Anolis sagrei: one gene and its partners. Each later gene encodes a partner of the first gene's protein in a complex. Links are inferred from orthologs where the notes say so. Each region holds a gene or a part of one and is shown in the gene's direction. Other genes may lie near its edges. The genes, in order: DNTTIP1, SAP30 and MIDEAS.

Evidence for each region.
Region 2: DNTTIP1 (region 1) and SAP30 share a complex: the UniProt entries of both Homo sapiens proteins name them as parts of the histone deacetylase complex. The link is inferred for Anolis sagrei from reciprocal best matches to the Homo sapiens genes DNTTIP1 and SAP30.
Region 3: the proteins of DNTTIP1 (region 1) and MIDEAS are in contact, whole or in part, in a cryo-EM structure (PDB 6Z2J), measured with the Homo sapiens proteins. The link is inferred for Anolis sagrei from reciprocal best matches to the Homo sapiens genes DNTTIP1 and MIDEAS. Residues at the interface, in NP_443183.1 of Homo sapiens: Pro63, Ser66, Leu69, Leu70, Ala72, Val73, Leu74, Pro76, Ser77; in NP_001036783.1 of Homo sapiens: Gln768, Asp771, Leu772, Thr774, Ala775, Ser778, Ser779, Ile802, Leu803, Leu806.

The regions. Positions count from the first base shown.
Region 1 is NC_090024.1:248,956,246-248,963,252, reverse strand, and holds the start of DNTTIP1 (deoxynucleotidyltransferase terminal-interacting protein 1), read left to right. Parts: upstream 1-3,902; 5' UTR 3,903-3,951; coding exon 3,952-4,074; intron 4,075-6,630; coding exon 6,631-6,701; intron 6,702-6,804; coding exon 6,805-6,901; intron 6,902-7,007. UniProt on the Homo sapiens protein: Increases DNTT terminal deoxynucleotidyltransferase activity (in vitro). Also acts as a transcriptional regulator, binding to the consensus sequence 5'-GNTGCATG-3' following an AT-tract.
Region 2 is NC_090025.1:60,585,930-60,593,066, forward strand, and holds the start of SAP30 (histone deacetylase complex subunit SAP30), read left to right. Parts: upstream 1-4,033; 5' UTR 4,034-4,261; coding exon 4,262-4,672; intron 4,673-7,137. UniProt on the Homo sapiens protein: Involved in the functional recruitment of the Sin3-histone deacetylase complex (HDAC) to a specific subset of N-CoR corepressor complexes. Capable of transcription repression by N-CoR.
Region 3 is NC_090021.1:286,468,807-286,476,746, reverse strand, and holds the start of MIDEAS (mitotic deacetylase-associated SANT domain protein), read left to right. Parts: upstream 1-4,834; 5' UTR 4,835-4,931; intron 4,932-7,940.

The DNA.
Region 1 (7,007 bases):
CGTATCTTGGGAAGTCTGACTTGGCCACGGTGGTACATGCTTTGGTCACATCCCGCCTCGACTACTGCAACGCTCTCTACGTGGGGCTGCCCTTGAAGACGGTCCGGAAGCTCCAGCTAGTCCAGCGCGCGGCAGCCATGTTGTTAACGGGAGCTGGACGCAGAGAGCATACAACGCCCCTGCTGTCCCAGCTCCACTGGCTGCCGATCTGCTACCGGGCCCAATTCAAGGTGCTGGTGCTCTCCTACAAAGCCCTAAACGGTTCCGGCCCAAAATACCTTGCAGACCGCATCTCGGCCTATGAGCCCACGAGGGCCTTGAGATCATCCGGGGAGGCCCTTCTCTCGGTCCCGCCTGCCTCACAGGCACGTCTGGCGGGGACGAGGGAGCGGGCCTTCTCGGTGGTGGCCCCTCGGCTATGGAACGCCCTCCCTGCTGAAGTTAGACAGGCGCCCTCCTTGATGGCCTTTCGTAGGGGCCTGAAAACATGGCTCTTCGAGCAGGCCTTCAGTTGAGTGTAGTGAATGAAAATGGAATGAACCAGGACTACGACTTTGCTTATGACCCCAGGACTTGACGAAGCGGATTTTTAGTATAGGTGTGTGTTATGTTGTATTTGTCTGATTAGTATTGTCACGGTTCACTGTACATTGTCTTCTTTGTTGTTGTTCACCGCCCCGAGTCGCCTTCGGGCTGAGAGGGGCGGTCAATAAATGCAAGAAATAAATAAATAAATAAATAAACAGATAATTGGTAATATTGGTAAAATACATTTCAGTTGGAAGATGAGCAAGTGAAAGACTGTATGATAAGATGGGATGTTTATCGACCAGGAGTTGATGGCCAAAGTGACGAGGAGGGTGATATTGGAATTCTAGGATAACAGAGTTGGAAGAGACCACATAGACCATCATTAACTGACCCAAATAGTACTTTTTCTGTGACTTTTGTGAGCGTTAACTATAAAAGTGTAGCTCAGAACTGTCACAGTTAGTTTCTCATCACAATACTACTACATGGTAAGAAATAATTTATGTCCCCCCCATATAAAACTATGCTGTAAAAGTGCCAATATATGGGAGCTGATTTCCCAGCCACAGAGTAGAGATACCACAATACAATGTATTTGGATCTCCAATATGTTTTTTTGGTATATGCAAGGTCTACATCAGTGGTTCTCAACCTGCAAGTCCCCAGGTGTTTTGGCCTTCAACAGCTGGTCTATTGGCTGAAATTTCTGGGAGTTGTAGGCCAAAACTCCTGAGGATCCACAGGTTGAGAACCATTGGTCTACATTTAGTCAGCTAACATTGGGAACTTGTATTAACTGACCTAAACATGGATGGGTTATGGGTAGATAAACCAATAAGCCAATGGGTGCTAAATACCGATCCTCTGATGACATTTACGATACGCCTTCCGAGATATGTCAACCCTGGCTAGGTGACTCTGATGTCTAGCTGACCCTGAGGAGGAGCCCTGGACCCAGCATCGATGTAACTAACTGTCCCCTGCCAGGCGTTGCTGTGGCCGTCTGTTGATCTGGCAAATAAAGTAATGAGAAAGTGTTGGTTTCTAATAAATGTAATTTCGTTCTGCTTGTGGGTAAACAGTATTTCTTGCTGTTTCTTTGTCAGTGTTGACGTAGAGATTGTCTGGTTTGCCCACCCTGGAACATGCAACATATAGTTGTCCTTCTTTAAGCGTCCCTTTCAAATCTATGATACTATATCTCTGTGTGTGAATCATATCTATCTATTTAGCTATCTATCTATCTATGGCTATGGCTGGATGGGTCTTTGTGAGGAGGACTTTGATTACATTTTCTTGCCCTGATGAAGGGAGCTGGATTGGATGGCCTCAAGTATTTTCTGTTGGTCATGGGGGTTCTGTGTGGGAAGTTTGCCCTGATTCTGTCTTTCGTGGGGTTCAGAATACTCTTTGATTGCAGGTGAACCATAAATCCCAGTAACGAAAACTCCCAAATGTCAAGGTCTATTTCCCGCAAACTCCATCTGTGTTCATATCTGGGTGTATTGAGTGCTTTTGCCAAGTGTGGTCCAGATCCATCATTGTTTGAGTCTGTAGTGGTCTCTGGATGTAGGTGAACTACAACTCCCAAACTGAAGGTCAATGGCCCACCAAACCCTTCCCTGACAGATGGCCATCCAGCCTCTGTTTCAAAGAGTCTCCACCGCACTCCCTCTGGGGCAGAGAGTTCCACAGCTGAACGGCTCTCACAGTCAGGAAGTTTTTCCTCATGTTCAGAGGAATACCTTTAAAAACAATTTTGTGCCTGAAAGAGTGTGGGTTGGAGCAAACTGAACCACGAGAAAGCACCACAGTCTGTGAGGAATGGTGGTAGGAATGCAAGTCCAAAGCGCCTGGAGAGAAGGAGGAAAGGAAGGAAGGAAGGGGATCCGAAGTAGGCCCAGGCGAGAGAGAGAGAGAGAGAGAGAGAGAGAGAGAGAGAGGTGGGCCGGGAGAGAAACTAAGCCTGAAGGCCGGCCATCCCGCCCCCAGAACGCCTTCCACCCATTCTGGTTCGACTGCCACCCTGGACACAGCATATTCTTATTTGAGAACACAGAAATGCTGGACCACTCTCACAACCACCATGTCAGACTACACAGAGAAGCCATGGAAATCCACAAGAAGCAGGTGGACAATTTCAACAGAAAAGAAGAGACCATGAAAATGAACAAAATCTGGCTACCAATATTAAAAAAAAACTCTAAAATTACAACAGCAAAACAACAGAGAAGAAACAAACAAGGACATCTAATCACCTCTCAACAAAAGATTGCTCCAGGCACTGTCAGGCCATCAAACATCCCTCCTCTCCTTCAGAAGGAAGCTAAAGACCTGGATGTGGCAGATGGACAAAGACAACCAATAATGACCAGAGTAGGAAAGGACAATGACGATGATAAATGGTTTACGGGCTTGGATTTGGTGAACACTGACCACAAGATGTTTTTATTCATGATAGTATACTGTTGATTGTTTTAATTAGCTATAACTGTGATATTATATGGTAAATTTGTGTATTGTATATTGTATTGTATTTTGTGAATTGTTAGGCATCGAATTGTGCCTTTTGTAAGCCGCCCTGAGTCCCCCCGAGGAGGTTGAGAAGGGTGGGATAGAAGCACCCCAAATAAATAAATAAATAAATAAATGCTAATCAAGGTGGTCAGTTGAAACATTCACACGTAGCTCCAGCAGACAAGAGTCCTTTGTCCCACCCTGGTCATGCCACAGATATATAAACCCATTTTTCCTAGTTCCAACAGACCTCACTACCTCTGAGGATGCTTGCCATAGATGCAGGCGAAACGTCAGGAGAGAATGCCTCTAGAACATGGCCATACAGCCCGAAAAAACCTACAACAACCCAGTGATTCCGGCCATGAAGGCCTTCGACAATACAGTATTAAAAAACTCTAAAATTACAACAGCAAAACAACTAGAGAGGAAACAATCTGGGACATCTAATCACCTCTCAACAAAAGTTTGCCCCAGGCACTGCCAGATCATCAAATGCTAATCAAGGTGGTCAGTTGAGACATTCACACCTAGCTCCAGCAGACAAGAGTCCTTTGTCCCACCCTGGTCATTCCACAGATATATAAACCCTTTTTCCTAGTTCCAACAGACCTCACTACCTCTGAGGATGTTTGCCATAGATGCAGGCGAAACGTCAGGAGAGAATGCCTCTAGAGCATGGCCCTATAGCCTGAAAAAACCTGCCACAACCCAGTGATTCCGGCCATGAAAGCCTTCGAGTAGCCATTGCCCGGCTTTTCCTTCAGGAGAGGCCTGCTTCCCTCGGTTTCCAAGCAACGGCCCCACTTCCGGGTCGTGCCGGGCGCGGGGTGATGACGTCCCTGCGTGGCCGTGGAGGGGGGCGTGGCTGCTGCGCGAGGGAGTCAGTCAGGGAGTGAGCGGATGGGGGCCGCCCGCGAGACCGAGCAGCCCGAGGCCGAGGCCGGGGAAGAGGAGGAGGAGGACGAGGAGGAGGAGGAAGAGGAAGAAGAGGGAGAGGAAGACGAGGAAGAGGAGGAGCTGGCGGTGAGGGGGGGCGGGGCGGTTGCCGGGATACCAGGGGGAGGGAGGGGGCGCCCCAGCCCAGCATGCACCGCGGCAGAGGTGTGTGCCTGGCTTAGGAAGGACATCACAGGCCTAGACCAACTTAGGCCCTCCCTCCCGCCCGCCAGGTGTGTTTTGGACTACAACTCCCAGAATTCCTAAGAGCCGGTAGGCTCTTAGGAATTCTGGGAGTTGTAGTCCAAAACACAACTGGCGGGCGGGAGGCAGGGCCTAAGTTGGCCCAGGCCTGGACTGTCATCATAAACACATATCCTTCAGCCCTCCCGCCAGTTGTATTTTAGACTACAACTTCCTGAATTCTGGGAGTTGTAGTCCAAAACCCCTGGCGGGCGGGAGGGAGGGAGGGCTGAAGTTGTCCCAGGCCTGCTCTAGCATCATCATCACATGGGAAAGGTTTCATTACACAGCCAAAACTATCATTATTAATTACTATATTATTATATTTGATATTAGGAATTCTGGGAGTTGTAGTCCAAAACACAACTGGCGGGTGGGAGGCAGAATTCCTAAGAGCCGGCAGAGGTAAGCCTAGCATTGGTGTGCCTGGCTTAGGAAGGACTTCAGAGGCCTGGACAACTTCAGCCCTCCCGCCCGCCCGCCCGCCCGCCAGGGGTTTTGGACTACAACTCCCAGAATTCCTAAGAGCCGGTAGGCTCTTAGGAATTCTGGGAGTTGTAGTCCAAAACTCCTGGCGGGAGGGAGGGAGGGCTGAAGTTGTCCCAGGCCTGCTCTAGCATCATCACCACATGGGAAAGGTTTCACTACACAACCAAAACTATCATTATTAATTACTATATTAGTATATTTGATATTATTAGCAAACTGACAAAACTATAACAACAAGGTTTGTGTTCCCGGCTCAGGAAGGACATCCCTTCCCAACCAGGTCTCTCACAGGCCCTCCTTCCCTCCCTCCCTCCTGCCAGGTATTTTGGACTCCACCTGTTAGGAATGATGGGAACTGGAGTCTAAAACACCTGAAGGGAGGGAGGGAGGGCATAAGTTGGCCCAGGCCTGTGAGAGGCCCAGTTGGGAAGGGATGTCCTTCCTGAGCCGGGAACTATCATCATAAACAAAGTTCTTGTGAGTTTTTTCGGGCTATGTGGCCATGTTCTAGAGGCATTTTCTCCTGACGTTTCACCTGCATCTATGGCAAGCATCCCTCAGAGGTAGTGAGGTCTGTTGGAACTAGGAAAATGAGTTTATATATCTGTGGAATGACCAGAGTGGGGCAAATGACTCTTGTCTGATGGAGCTAGATGGGAATGTTTCAACTGACCACCTCCATTAGCATTAGAAGGTCTGGCTGAGCCTGGGGGAATCTTTTGTTGAGAGGTGTTAAGATGCGCCTGGTTGTTTCCTCTCTGCTGTTTTGCTGTTGTAATTTTAGAGTTTTTTAATACTGGTAGCCAGATGTTGTTCATTTCCATGGTTTCCTCCTTTCTGTTGAAATTGTCCACATGCTTCTTGTGGATTTCAATGGCTTCCCTATGCAGCCAGTGGTTCCCTTGATGTATGGCAGGAACACTTTTCCTCTGAGTGGACCGCAGAGGGAAGCTGAGGAGGAAACACAACATACAAACTATCTCCAGACCCACCAAGAAAATCCAACAAATGCTTCATCCAGCAAAGAACAAGAGGGATCTTCTCGCTTCTGCAGGAGTCTACCATTGTATACCATGCAGCTGTGGACAAGAAGTCTACATAGGGACCCCCAAATGCATTATTGCCTAGACACGAATCAAGGAGCATGAAAGGCACTGCAGACTACTTCAACCAGAGAAGTCAGCCATAGCAGAGCACCTGATGTACCAGCCTGGACACAGCATATTATTTGAGAACACAGAAACGCTGGACCACTCTCACAACCTCCATGTCAGGCTACACAGAGAAGCCATTGAAATCCACAAGGAGCAGGTGGGGAATTTCAACAGAAAGGAAGAGACCATGAAAATGAACAAAATCTGGATGCCAGTATTTAAAAACTCTAAAATTACAACAGCAAAACAGCAGAGAGGAAACAACCAGGCGCATCTTAACACCTCTCAACATAAGATTTCCCCAGGCTCAGCCAGGCCTTCAAATGCTAATGAAGGTGGTCAGTTGAAACATTCACACCTAGCTCCAGCAGACAAGAGTCCTTTGTCCCACCCTGGACATTATTCCACAGCAGGCATGGGCAATCTTTGGGCCTTCCAAGTGTTTTGGATTTCAACTTCCAGCTACTGGCTGTTGGGAATTGTGGGACTTGAAGCCCAAAACCCCTAGAGAGCCCAAGTTTGCCCATGCCTGCTGTACACTATAGAATGAATGCAGCTGTGGTGTCACTTTTAATGCCAAGGCGCAATGCTCCAGAGCCCTGGGAGTTGTAGTTTGGTGAGGCACTAGAAGTCTTTGACAGATAAGGTTTAAGGCCAGAACTCCATGGCATGAAAGAGGACTCAAGGTGCTTTCGTTCTGCCGTGTGGATGTACTCAAACCAGCGTGCACCCATCCACCTCTGGTTTCTTCCCACAGAGTCCCTGGAACATCATGATCAAGCACCGGCTGGTCCAGCGGCGCGGGCGGCGCTCCCAGATGATGACCAGGTACAGAGACCCCCCCCTTCCTTGCCTCCTCCTCCTCCTCCTCCCAGGAGAGGCATTGTGGTCCAGCCATTGACCCCTTGTCCTCCCCCCCCCCCATCTCCAGCTTCACAGACCCCGTTGTTTCCATGGACCTGCTGCGAGCCGTCCTGCAGCCCACCATCAACGAGGAGATCCAGGCCGTCTTTGGGAAGTACATGAAGGTGTGCAACTGGGGCCCTTGGCACTGGGGGGGGGGGGGGGGGGGCTTCCATCTCAAGGGGTCACGAGGGGCAGGAAGCCAGAGAAGACCCTCCCTCCCTCCCTCCC
Region 2 (7,137 bases), on another chromosome or scaffold:
TAGTGTATATGGTTCTGAGGATACAAAACGTTGTCCTGTATCTATATACAATAGCAATCTCTTCCCTTTTCCGCTCCACAGCAAAAGAAGCCCACTTACTCAATACTGGAGGTAGACTACTACCCGATTGGGGCACTAAGTTTAAGATAACATTGTATTGTCTTAGAGGTTGTGTAAACACACTCCCTAATGCAGCTAATAATTTTCTAAGGACCCTTCCACACAGTCATATATCCTCGAATATCAAAGCAGATAATCCACAATTTCTGCTTTGAACTGGATTATCTGAGTCCACACTCAGATAATGTGGGGTTTTCTGCCTTGATATTCTGGGATATAGAGCTGTGTGAAAGGTCCCTCTGCCCACTTGCAGCTTTCACTTTTGACTTGGGGCCCTTCCACACAGCCATATAACCCAGAATAGAAAAGAAGATAATCCACAATATCTGTTTTGAACTGGATTATCTGAGTCCACAATGCCATATAATCCAGTTTAATGTGGATTTTAGCTGTGTGGAAGGAGCCTTGATCAATGAGGAGCAAATCAGTTGTTGCGCAGTAGGTGAACTCAATGCCTATCCAACAATCTAGTTGCCTGATAGGAAATTTCCACAACTGTGGTGTAACTGTTCTGATATGTTTTTTTCTGCTTTTGTAAAACCATACAGAATCTAGGCTGGGAGATATAATTATATAACTATCCTTTTTTGTTTGTCTTCCAGCCATTTCCAACTTACAGGGATCTTATCACAGAGTTTTCTTGGTAAGATTTGTTAAGAAATAATTTTCCTTATGTCTTCCTCTGTGGCAGAGGGACTATGGTTAGCTCAAGGTCATCCTGTTGGGTTCCTGTGGCTGATCGGGTATTCAGCCATGATCATAGTTGTAATCCAATGTCCAAACCACAACACCATGCAGCTCTCACTAGTATTGACCTAGGACCCTTCCACACAGCCCTATATCCCAGAATATCAAGACAGAAAATTCCACAATATCTGCTTTGAACTGGAATATATGACAGTGTGGACTCAGATAACCCAGTTCAAAGCAGATATTGTGGGATTTTCTGGCTTGATATTCTGGGATATAGGGCTGTGTGGAAGGGGCCTATGTTGCAGGAACAGCTCCTTTTGTCTCTATGGAATCTTCTGTTATTGAAATTTGTGAACCAGCTGTTTCCCTTCTGCAGGACTATCCATTTTCCGGAGCTGGTAATTACAGTTGGCCCATGGTATCCACTGGGGTTTGGTTCCAAGTAACACACACACGCCACGGATATCAAAATATGTGGGTGCTCAAATCCCATTATCTAAAATGACATGGTAAAATGACATTAATTTAATAAAATGGCAAATAACTCAAACAAGTGTTGAGGATCTGTGAAATGACAGGAGGTTACAAGAGAATATGCCTATACATTACCATGGTGCTTCGCATGTGGCAAAATCAAAATGTTGATTATTGGATTTCCCTCCCTGAATATGTTATAATTGAATCTGTTAGTGCAGAATTTCTGAATACAGTGGGACAACTGCGTGTCCACCTCCATCATGTGCTTTCCTAAGCTAAACAGCTTTGCAATGTTGTAAGCAAACGTTTAATTTCCTTGCACCACAGAAGGAAGAGGATTGTCTTGAGCAATACAAAAATACACTAACAATAGCTGATGAGAAAAAAAGCTCTGTGCATAATTTTTAGTGATATCTGCCACCACAGGTAAGAAAACATTTAAAAGGGTCTTTTAAATTTGTCAAGTAGGTCTTCCTGCCAAATTGCTTATGATTGTACAGGCAGTCCCTGAGTTACAAACATCTAACTTACAAAGAACGGGGATGAGACAACAGGAAATGAGAAAATCTACCCTCAGGAAGAAATAGCCACCCCTGAGTTATCATGGGAGGAAAGGGTCTCTACTGAAGCTTTATCACCAATCCCTGTGAGCCTCCAGTGGCGCAGTGGATTAAACCCCTGTGCTGGCAGGACTAAAGACCGACAGGTTGCAGGTTCAAATCCGGGGAGAGACGGATGAGCTCCTTCTATCAGCTCCAGCTCCTCATTTGGGGACATGAGAGAAGCCTCCCACAAGGATGATAAAAACATCAAATCATCCGGGTATCCCCTGGGCAAAGTCCTTGCAGAAGGCCAATTCTCTCACACCAGAAGCGACTTGCAGTTTCTCAAGTCGCTCCTGACACGACAAAAAAATAAATAAATCCCTGTTTCCACAACAAGCCTGTTGGAAATAGTAACCTTCTCAAGCCTCCACTAGTTACGTGTTATATATATAGCTAGCTGTCCCGTGTCATGCTTTGCTGTGGCCCAGTCTGTGTATATGTGTTTTGTGTGTGTATATATGTGTATATATGTGTGTGTGTTTGCATATATACACACACACACGTGTGCACGTGTGTACATATATGTGTGTGTGTATATATGTACATATGTGTATTTTTGTGTGTTTATATGTGTGTATGCATGTGTATATGTGTGTGCATGCGTATATGTGTGTATGTATGCGTGCATGTGTTTATGTATATGCACCTTCCTCTTGGCACGTTTCTCTCTTTTACCCTCCATTTGTGCCTCTTCAAATTCTGCAGCACTGCTGGTCACAGCTGACCTCCAGCTGGAGTGCTCAAGGGCCAGGGCTTCCCAGTTCCCAGAGTCTATGACAGAGTTTTTAAAGTTGGCTTTGAGCCATCTTTAAATCTCTTTTTAAAGGGGCAATGCCAGCTAGCTTGTAGAGTTTATCAACAGGTGTAGGTTTAAGACAGGGGTCCTCAAACTAAGGCCCGGATATAGCTCTCCAAGGTCATTTACCCGGCCCTCGTTCAGGGTCAACCTAAGTCTGAAACAACTTGAAAGCACACAACAACAACAATCCTATCTCATCAGCCAAAAGCAGGCCCACACTTCCCATTGAAATACTAATAAGTTTATATTTGTTAAAATTGTTCTTCATTTTAATTATTGTATTGTTTTAAGTGATTTTTGCACAACAAATAAGATATGTGCAGTGTGCATAGGAATTAATTCATTTTTTTTTTCAAATGATAATCCGGCCCTCCAACAGTTTGCGGGACTGTGACCTGGCCCTCTGTTTAAAAAGTTTGTTGACCCCTGGTTTAAGACATCCTGTGATTATTCTGCAAGTTTCATTCAATGCTATGTTCACCTGCTTTGCATGGGCAGACCTATGCCAAACAGGGCAGGCATACTCAGCAGTTGAGTAAGACAAGGCCAGGGCTGATGTTCTTATTAATTTTGGGTCTGCACCCCATGTGCTGCCAGTAAGTTTCCACAGGATGTTATTGCATTCAGCTGGAGGTCAGCCGTGACCAGCAGTGCTGCAGAATTTGAAGAGGCACGAATGGAGGGTGAAAGAGAGAAACGTGCCAGGAGGAAGGCCGTTGAGCCAACCCCGGCCGAGACCGCCTTCCACCTGGAAACCAACGCCTTCACTGTGGGAGAAGATGCAGGTCAAGAATAGGGCTCCACAGTCACCTATGGACCCACAAGAATACTGATCCTGGGAGACTATCCTTCTCGTCTAAGTAAGTAAGCTGGGGAGGGGGGGGGCACGCCAAGAGGAGTGGTGGTTCTCATAAAGGAGTTGGCTAGGCTTTGCATTGCAATGGGAGAGAGCAGTCTTTTCCAACTTCCCGCTTTCAAAGCCTCCCCCCCTTTCCAAAAAAAAACCGGTCGCATGAGAGGAAGAGAAGGAGGGGGAGGGTCTGAAGCTCAGACGTCACGAGGCATTTACTTAAATGGCATCCGAGCGAAGGTTTCAAAAACCGGTGAGGAGAAAAAAAGGGAAGCGGGTCACGTGTCCTTCGCAAGCCTTGCCTGCCTGCCTGCGCGCGCGCAAACAAGCCCGCTTTGTAAATACACCACCACACTGAGGCGGCGGAGGAGTTCCTTTTTTTTCTACATCTCGCAAAGCGTTGCATTCTGGGATTGGTAGTCCTGAAAGGCGTCTAATCCCTTCTGCAAAAACAGAGACAGGAACTACGTTTCCCATGAGCGCATAGCGAGAATTCGAAAGGGGAGGGGGGAAAGAAAGAGGAGAGAGAGGAAAACAGAGCCAGCTCTACCGGGGTTTAGTGTTGTTGCTGCTGCAATGGGGAGAGGAGTGCTGGAAAGTGCCGCGCGGTGCCCCAAGGGGTGATTGATATCCCTCCGACGAAGCCGGGAAAGGGAATGCGGTGGGTCTCGCCTTGAGCAAGCAAGCAGCACCAACACACGCCTTCCCCCGTATTGAATGACTTTACTGTCGAAACACAGCGCGGAGATGAATGGCTTCGGGCCCGACGACGTGGCCCGAGGAGGAGGAGGAGGAGGGCCAGGAGAAGCCCCGCTCCCCGCCTTGGTTGCCAATGCCGGGGAAGCCCTTCCTCTGCCGCCGCCACCTCCTCCTCCTCCGTTGCCCCTTCCTCCACCTCCTCCTCCGCCCGGGCTGGGCATGGCCTCCTCCTCGGTGGCCTCCTCTTCCTCCTCTCCGTCTGCTTCTTCGGGGGCGGCTCCGGCTGGCTCGGGCCCCGGGGCGGGCCAAGTGTGCTGCCTGAGGGAGGAAGGCGAGCGGTGCGGGCGGGCGGCGGGCAACGCCAGCTTCAGCAAGCGCATCCAGAAGAGCATCTCCCAGAAGAAGGTCAAGATCGAGCTGGACAAGAGCGTGAGTCTTGGCTTTCATGGCTGGAATCACTGGGTTTTTCGGTTGTTCTAGAAGCATGCTCTCCTGACGTTTCGCCTGAGGCTGAGGCTTGAGGCTTGCCATAGATGTAGGCGAAACGTCAGGAGAGCATGCTTCTAGAACATGGTCAGGAAAAGAGAGTTATTGTGCCTGCCTGCCCTCCTTTGCAGACTTTGCTTTGATCTCCTCCCACCCACTTTTGACTTGTTCCCCTTGAAGTTTGCTTTTTCCCCCAACTCTTTCGACTTGGATTGGTCATTTTTGCAGCCTGCTTTGCCTTATATGCTGCTTAGACTTTGTCTTGTTTGTCTTCCACTTTGCATTGTTTTCTCCACTTTGCATTGTTTTTTTCTCCACTTTGCATTGTTTTTTTCTCCACTTTGCATTGTTTTTCTCCTTGCTTTTGCGTTTACTGCACGGCCTTCTTTCTATTTTTGGGCAGTTTGCACTGCCTCCCCCCCCCCCCCTACTGTTATATTCCTGACAGGCCCTATTATCCCAGGATCTGATCCCAAGTTTCCAGATTTTCTGCTTTAAACTGGATTATATGTGTCCGCACTGCATGATAATTGGTGGCACTCTGAGTGTACAGTGTATCTGGCAGCGCCCACTCATATAATCCACTTTAAAGCAAAAATACTTGTGATCAGTTCCTAAGATAAAGGGCCTGTCTGGAAGGGCCTTGAGTCTGTATCTACGCCGCCCTATATCCCAGGATCTGATCCCAAATTTTCTGTTTATCCTGGCTTATCTGGCAGTGTGAACTCATATAATCCAGTTTAAAGCAGAAAACCTGAGACCAGATCCTGGGATAAAGGGCTGGCCTAGAAGGGCCCTAAGGCTGAATCTACACTTCCCCATATCCCAGGGTCTGATCCCAGGTTTACTGTTTATCCCAGATTATCTGGCAGTGTGGACTCATAGTCCAGTTTAAAGCAGAAAACCTGGGGTCAGATTCTGAGAGGTAGGCCTGTCTGGAAGGGCCCTCAGGTCCCGCTTCTACACTGCCACATACAATCCAGATTATCCTAACTGGATTATATGTCTCTACACTGCCATATGATCCAGTTCAAAGCACAGCATCTGGATTTTATGTGTCTGCTCTTGAAATTTTCATTGCATTTTCTTTGCACTTCTTATTGCCTTTCACTGCTTACTTTAATCCCATCTGCACTGGCCAATAACTGTTGGAAACTGCATAGACAATGAGAGATCATTACTGGGCCTCTGGTTGAGAACTATCTCACACCTTGGCTTTGTTGGTCCGTGTTGGCCCAATTACCACCACTGGCCATACAACCAGTCTTGTTAAGTTGCAATGTTGTTTTTGTGTTGTGGGTTTCTCTGAGGTTGTAATGCTGGGACTTGCTTGTTTTATGAATGTATGTTGGAATCCGCCTGAGCGGACGGAATATAAATAAAGTTTTATTATTTTCTTATTTATACCAGGCATGGGCAAACTTTGGCCCTCCAGGTGTTTGGACTCCAACTCCCACAATTCCTAACAGCCAGTAGGCTGTTAGGAATTGTGGGAGTTGGAGTCCAAACACCTGGATGGCCAAAGTTTGCCCATGCCTGGTATACAGTCATTATTTGAGTCTACACTCACTCAATGCAATTTCCAACTATATTATTTGGCACTATGGAGGGGGCCATTGTCTTGTTCTTTGTGCAGTTTCGCAGTCTTCCTCCCATCGCCTTGTTTCTCCTTGAAGTTTGCCTTGCCTCATTCTCCTTGCCTTTGCGGCTCTTTTCTCCTTGCAAAAAACAAGTGTGCAAAGCCATCCGCCTGTTCCCTTTCTCTCTCTGTCTCTCACTTCCCGCCCTCCTCCTTCATGTCTCAGGACGGCAAAGAAGTGCAGACAGGAAGGCAACAAAAGCCATCCCGCCACAATGGAGGAAGGAGAGAGACAGAGAGAGATTCCCCTTTCCAAGGGGGGTCCTTTCTCCAGATCTGAGGTGTTTCGATCCCAATCCCGATGACTTTTTGTTGTCCCATTTCCCTCCACAGTCTCCTTCCACTTCATTCCTTGAGAGGGAAACAGAGATGCAGCAAAGGAATGAGGAGTTTGGCAGATAGGATCCCCCAAAGCTTGGGGCAAATCTCATTCCGCATCCGGCTGTTTATGTCTGACGCGGCAAAAACCTGCTCTTTGTCATCTTCTCTCCCTCCTTGATGGCATTGCTACTTTGATGTTATTTTGCTTTTTTCTTGCTCTCATAGGCTGCCTCTACCTTTCATAATTGAAACACCCTAATGCCTTAATATAATGGAGTTGTAATTTTGCAAGGTCTGCAGCCTTCTCTCGCCGTACATTCCACAAAGTGATGTTAAAACTACATTCATTCCTCACTGTGTTATTTTGTCTGAAGACCAAAGCATCTCAACCTCTCCTTTCTCTTTGCAGACAGTGTTATACATACAACACATACACACACACATATAT
Region 3 (7,940 bases), on another chromosome or scaffold:
TTTTCAAAGGAACCATCCCAAAACTTATATTGTTTATTTGGAAAATGAAAGATATTATCTGTGGGAGAGGTACTTGTAGAATGAACATCATTACTGTTCATATGGCAGAATCATAGCCTGGCAAATACACAAACCCTGCAAATCATAGCAACAGAATGGAGAGCATGGCAACAACAGCTGCTGCAGCACTGAGAAAAGGAAAAAAAACACACTAAAATATGAGTTTAGAGGAGAAGAATTGGAAAGGAAGGGAGCCACACAATCATCCATGTCACAAAATAATTTGTGGTAAGTAACAGAGTACTCCATTTACCACTTAATGTTACAAATATAAATGTTACAGTAGGGATAACAGTGTTGTGGTTATGGGTGCATCGTCACTGTAGAACTCATGCAGTTCGATACCACTTTAACTGCCATGGCTCTATGCTATGTACTCCTGGAATTTGGAGTTTGGCAGAGCAGAGAAGGCTAAAGACCTTGCAAAACTGCATTTCCCATTATTCCATAACATTAAGCCATGGCAGTGAAAAGGGTCTCTGTAAAGAAGCACTAATCCCACTAGATGCCACCAAAAATGTAAAAGAACGTATCAATGCCACCAAAAATGTAAAGACGTGGTGTTAATCCCACCAAATGGGATTACCAAAAATGTAAGGAAGTTCCTAGACTGCTATTAAATTAAACTGCCACCAATATGTTTAGAGACGCTGGTCTTAAAGTCTCTGTTTATCCCTATTTGCGTTGTCAGGTAACTTTGGTAGAGTGGAATGCACCAAACGTAAAATTAATGGAGGAGGCAGGTTTAAAATACAAAGAGAACAAGTTTATTGTTAAACAAAGCGTAATTGTTGCAATATTGAGATGTAGAGCTTGGCATATGCTTGGTGGTTACAATATGGCTTGGTCGAGATACATTCAGGCTTTAGATGTTACAATCTTATAAACTCCTTCTTCAGTGAAGTACTTTATTATTTCAGTGTTCCTTGTTGTGAATATTCACACTGTTTGTCCTATACAGGATCAAACCACTGATCTCCAGTCTTACACTACTGGCGATCCTAAAACCTCCTCTGTTAGATTCTTTTTCCTCAAAGTAATCTAACGAGGTTTTCCCTTCAGCTCCCTTGCTGAAGAAATATTCACAAACACTAAAACTAACTGAATCTATACTGCTTCACACCACAGAGCCCTAACTGACTCTGCCCTCTTCTCAGGGTCTCATCCTCCTGACTCAAACTACTTTTCCAGAGTCCTATCTTGACTCTGCTACTTTCCCAGAGTCCTTTCTTGACTCTGCTACTCTCCCAGAGTCCTATCTGACTCTGCTCCTCCTCTCAGGGTCTCATCCTCCTGACTGAAAATTAACTGTCACTTTCAAACCTTTTTCTCCTTAAGCTCCGCCCACCTCCTCTGCCTTGTCTTGTCACCATGGCAACCTATCCCTCACAGCTAGGCCATGGCAACAAATGTAAACCACAAATACAGTTTAAACACAGTATAATAAACACTTTATAATAAACATATCTCTACAGTCTCAAACTGCATTACTTCTGCAGTGTAGATGCTTCCTATGTTCTCTACAGTTCTTCATCGGTAGCCAGTGGAGTACCTTGGCAGCCACCTCTCCATAAAAGTCAACATTGACACTGAAATACAACACATCCTGAGATACTGTATTTTCTGGCATATAAGATGACTGGGAGTATAAGACGATCCTCAACTTTTCCAGTTAAACTATAGAGTTTGGAATATAGGACCGAGTTGTGGCACAGCTGGTTGGGAGTCAGCTGCATTAAAATCACTACTGACCAAAAGGTCATTAGTTCGAAGCCAGCCGGGTCGAAGTAAGCTCCCAACCATTTGTCTAGCTTGCTGTCAACCTTTGCAGCCTGAAAGACAATTGCATCTGTCAAGTAGGAAATTTAGGTACCGCTTATGAGGGGAGGCTAATTTAACTAATTTACAACGCCATAAAAATCTCCAGCAGCATGCAAAAGAATTAGGAAGTACTCCATCAGTGTCACAAGTGGACAGTGAAGTGACAGCTTCACACCCTCATGAAGCTGGAAGTTAAATAGCCTCTGTGTGTCTATCTACATATGTTGTGTGTCTATGGCACTGAATGTGTGCCATATATATGTGCATTGTGATCCACCCTGAGTCTCCTGCAGGGTGAGAAGGGCAGAATATAAATACTGTAAATAAATAAATAAATAAATAAATAAATTACTCGCTGTATAAGACTACCCCTCTTCCAATGCACACCAAATAAAATTTTTAAAAACATCAGATTTGATTTCAATATGGTAATTTTCCTATTGCCATACCTCCTTCTCTGCCTCTTAGATCTCAAACAAGCATGCCTGTGGTACTTCACTGTAGTCCTCAGGAGCAAGATCTGAAAGGCAGAGAAGGAGGTACGATAATAGGATACAAGGGCAGGCCAGATGGGTGAAAGAGGAGTGTTTTTCTGGGCACAGCACCACTTTATCTCTTTTTTCCATACCTCGGACATCCCAGATGCCTGAAGTTTGCTTCCCCCTTCACTTACACCTTCCCGGTGAGGTGCCCCCTCATCTCATCATCAGGACCTCGTCAAGTCGCTTCTTTACATGAATCTTGGTGAGTGGATTTTCTTCTACCGTACTTGTATAGCGCCCCTCTTGCTGCTTTTAGACAGTCACTGCATATGGTGGTGATGCAGCCATGGCCGTTTTTGAGCTCCCCCCAAACATATGCGACGACCGCAGATTTTCCAGTCCAGCTTGGAAGTTTCTGCACCCACCCCATAAGACTACACCCGGCATATAAGACGACCCCCGACTTTTGAGAAGATTTTCCTGGGTTAAAAAGTAGTCTTATACACCAGAAAATACAGCAGATATTTATCTGCCCCCTAGGAGTGATATCTTTATATTCTACATTTAGTAAATCTTTCTTTACAGGAGCAACTTGAGAAACTGCAAGTAGCTTTTGGTGTAAGAGAATTGGCCATCTGCAAGGACATTGCCCAAGGGGCACCCGATGTTTTGATGTTTTAATGTTTTACCATCCTTGTGGGAAGCTTCTCTCATGTCCCTGCATGGGAAGCTGGAGCTGACAGAGGGAGCTCATCTGCTCTCTCAGATTTGAACTGGCAACCTTCAGGTCAACAACTCAACATTCAGGTCAGCAGTTCTGCTGGCACAAGGGTTTAACGCATTGCACCACTGGGGCACTTCTACATTTAGTAATGTGATGCGGTAACAACATGAAGGTTGAAATATTCTGCTCTTGTTTTGCTTATTTCAAATCCTGTGAGGACTAGAACATATTTATTGTGCACGTTCTTCCAGAGCCTTGCAACAAAAGCCATTTCATCCTTATCAGAGCCAATACTGAAATGTTTAAATATACCTCTGACTCACATTTACCTACACTTCAAAAGATTTGGGAGCACAAGTAGTCACCTGTCAGTAAAAGGAACATTTTGTGTTGGCAGCTGACAGAGTGACACATTTTAACTCCATATGCAACAGCAATAATGTGTGCTGTTAGAAATCAACAGGGCTTCCAGGGCAATATTTAAAAAAAACAAAAAACCTAAGATGAACATATGCAAAGAAGAGTTAGGCGTCAAAAATAAATGAGAGAGCGTGAGCAGCAACTGCAACTCACTCACACATTATTGCAAGATTAAAAGTGCATTGGCACCTGGAACAGGAATGCAATTAACAACAACGAGTTGATGGCAACTAAACCAAGTCTAAAGCAATGTACTTACTTACTTAGGCAATCCCTCGTTGTCCGAGTAGGATTGTCTTCCGAGACTGCTGTACTGGCGGCGGGTCCGTAGGTGAGTGTGGAGCCCTATTCTTGATCTGCATCTTCTCCCGCAGTGAGGGCATTGGTTTCCAGGTGGAAGGTGGTCCTGGTCGGGGTTGGCTTGACACGCCTTCCTTTTGGCACGTTTTTCTCTTTTGCCCTCCATTCGTGCCTCTTCAAATTCTACAACACTGCTGGTCACAGCTGACCTCCAGCTGGAGCGTTCAAGGGCCAGGGCTTCCCAGTTCTAAGTATCTATGCCAGAGATTTTTAAGGCTGGCATTGAGCCCATATTTAAATCTCTTTTCCTGCCCACCAAGATTTCGTTTTCCGTTCTTGAGTTTGGAGTAGAGCAACTGCTTTGGGAGACAGTGGTCGGGCATCCGGACAACGTGGCCAATCCAGCAAAGTTGATGGCGGAGGACCATCGCTTCAATGCTGGTGGTCTTTGCTTCTTCCAGCACGCTGACATTTGTCCGCTTATCTTCCCAAGAGATTTGCAAGATTTTCTGGAGGCAGTGCTGATAGAATTGTTCCAGGAGTTGCATATGACATCTGTAGACAGTCCACGTCTTGCAGGCGTATAGCAGAGTTGGGAGGACAATAGCTTTATAAACAAGCACCTTGGCATCCCTACGGATGTCCCTGTTCCCAAACACTCTCTGCTTCATTCAGAAGAATGCTGTACTCGCAGAGCTCAGGTGGTGTTGTATTTCAGTGTCAATGTTGACTTTTGTGGAGAGGTGGCTGCCAAGGTAGTGGAAATGGTCAACATTTTCTAATGTTACACCATTAAGCTGTATTTCTGCCATTAAGCTGTATTTTTGACTCATATAATGCATTTAATTCTGCATTACATAGAGCTCCACTGCCCATATGATGCACTGACCATATGCAGATATTGCAGATACAGCCACAGCAGAAGTCACTAGGCGGGTGAGGTGGGGAGGGTGGGCAGACGGGGCGGGGCTTGAGAGGGCCTCTCGGGGAGCCCAGCCCCCAAACCTCTGCCCCAGGGCTGCTCTAGGAAGTGACGCCTCCCCAGCAGCAGCAGCAGCACTAGCAGGAGGCAACGGAGGGCCTCAAATTTGGCTCCTGGGGCGACTCAGGAGCAGCAGATCAAGGTAAGCGACCCTTCGGGGTGGGGAGGGGATCCTGGGGTCATGGCTTTCCCAGTTTGGGCAGATGTCCTGCTTTCTCTCTCCGGGGTAAAAGTTGAGAAGCAAGCCTGCATGCAGCTGAGCCTGCGCTTATGTAAACAGACAAGGGAAAACTTTTGAAAAGGAGGAAGAGGAGCAGGAACAGGTTTGCAGTGAGTGGCGTTCGGGGCGGAAGGCTTTGCACTGTGATCGCACTATTATTCCGCTTTAAAACACTCCCGGGGATGAAGATACAGAAAGGCTGACACTCCAGCTGCTTTGCTTTGTCCCCCCCCCCCCCCCCCTCTTGGGTGCATCTTCACACTGTAGAATGAATGCAGTTTGACACGACTCGGAAATGCCATGGTTCAATACTATGGAATCCTGGGAGCTTTAGTTCTGCAAGGTTCTGCAAGGTCTTTAGCCTTCCATGCCAAATGGCTCAATGCTATGGAATCCTGGGAGCTGTAGTTCTGCAGGGTCTTTAGCCTTCCCTGCCAAAAGGCTCAGTGAGATGGAATCCTGGGAGCTATAGTTCTGCAAGGTCCTTAGCCTTCCATGCTAAATGGCTCGATGCGATGGAATCCTAGGAGCTGTAGTTCTGCAAGTTCTGCAAGGTCCTTAGGCTTCCCTGCCAAATGATTCAATGCAATGGCATCCTGTGAGCTGTAGTTCTACAAGGTCTTTGGCTTTCCCTGCCAAATGGTTCAATGCTATGGAAACTTGGGAGCTGTATTTCTGCAAAGTCTTTAGCTTTCCCTGCAAAATGGCTCAATGCGATGGAATCCTGGGAGCTGTAGTTCTGCAAGGTCTTTAGCCTTTCCTGGGGAGTCACTAAACTCCCAAGATTCCATAGCATTGAGCCTTGGCAGTAAAAGTGGTACCACTGCATTCATTCCACAGTGTAGATGCACCAAGTGAGACTGGAAGTTGTTTTATTTCATCTTCCCAATTGGGAATAGATCTACATTGCCTTGAACTGCATTATATGGATTTATTACACTGACTATATAATATATAGTCTGAGGGGGAAAAGGAAGGGGCCTGAGGCTGTTAGGAATAGTGGGAGTCGAAGTCCAAAACACCTGGAGGACCAATGTTTGCCCATACCTATTGTAGATGCACCTTCAGCGAATCAAATTTTGGTGCAGACCCAAAATTAATAAGAACATAATCCTTGGCCTTGTCTTACTCAACTGCCGAATATGCCTGTCCTGTTTGGCATAAGTCTGCCCATGAAAACAGGTGAACGTAGCATTGAACTAAACATGCAGAATAATCACAGAATGTCTTAAACCTACACCTGTTGATAAACTCTATAAGCTAGTTGGCAGTGCCCCCCTCCCCCTCGATGTGAGAGAAATAAGGTTGAACACTGTAAAAGCCATCTACTACATGGCTACCAGTCTCCTCCCAACAGACTCAAATCAAGGAAAAGCTTTATGAGAACTACCACTCCTCTTGGCATCCCTCTAGCAACAGCAAGGGTATCCCTCAGGGCAGCTAACCAGGAATGAACATCTTGGAAGTCCCTGAACAGACTCAGAAGTGGAGTGGGCAGATCAAAAGACAATCTGGCAAAATGGCATTACCTAAAAGAAGCCCAAACCTTGTGTGACTGTGGAGCAGAACAGACAGCTCCACATTTGTATGCTTGTCCATTGTGCCCTGCCTCATGTACAGAGGAGGAATTGTTGGAGGCTACAGACAATGCCATTGCTGTTGCCTGTTTTTGGTCAAAAGATATTTAGCCGCCTGCACGCCTTCTATTTTTATCAGATTTATACTAATTTATGCAATGCTTTTGTTACGAAATCAATAAAGCAAATAAAATAAACTAGGTAGCTTGTTGCGGTTGGAACACCCTCCCCTTTTTATCCACAGTGGTTTCTGCTCTTTCCACCCACAAGTGTGGAAAAAGGCTGCTTCCATTGCAGGGGGAGGGAGGACGGAAAGTGTCAAAGTAGGTCTTCCAAATATGGGACACGTTTGCAGGAAGGAGACAGAAGGCGCTGCCTTGAGACAAATCATCTCCAGTCTGTAGGGATCAGACGTCTCCTCTGAGACTTAAATAGGCTTGCTTCCCCCCCCCCTCCCCGCTCCCCGCTCCCCGAATGCTTTTTTTTTTAAAGACCCAGTGGGACAAAAGCTTTCTGCGTGGCTCCTGACAGATGTTCATTGGAGCATATTTCTCAAGTTTGTAGCAGGAAACGAAAGAGGAGGGGTTTCTTTTGGCACATGATTGACTAAGCTGGCCAAAACACTCACTGGCGCCTGCAACCTTACATAAGGTTTGCAAGCTTTCTAACAAGCCTGTGCAAAGGACTGGGTGCTTTAAAGCCTTGTGAAGCCCACGGGACATTTTTTTTCCCTCCCTTGCGCTGAAGTCTCACATGGTGCTTTTGGTTTTGCAAAGGAAGCTTGTGGCACAGAGCTTTCCAAACTGTGTGTCATGACACAGGAGTGCCCGGTGGTGCAATGGGTTAAACCCTTGTGAGGGCATGACTGAAGACCAACAAGGTCAGAGGTTCAAATCTGGGGAGAGCATGGATGAGCTCCCTCTGTCAGCTCCAGCTCCCCATGTGGGGGCATGAGAGAAACCTCCCACAAGGATGGTAAAACATCAAAAAGCATCCGGGCATCCCCTGGGCAACGTCCTTGCAGACTGCCAATTCTCTCACAGCAGAAGCGACTTGCAGTTTCTCAAGTCATTCGTGACATGTGTAGGTGTGTCACGCAAACATCACGAGAAATGACCCAAATCTTGGAAACGTGTATTATCGTACAAATAATATATATTTAAAAAAACATAAATGAAAGGTGTTAATGAGATACTGTTATATTGCGTCCTCATACATTTCGTTTTTACAGATAATGTATGTGTCTGCATCTCGTATAAGGGTTTGGTTTAACTTCCAGTTTACCAGTGAAACTCAATTCCTGTGTTGTAAATGATGCAATGGTGTGTCACCAACACAAAATACTTGCAAAGCT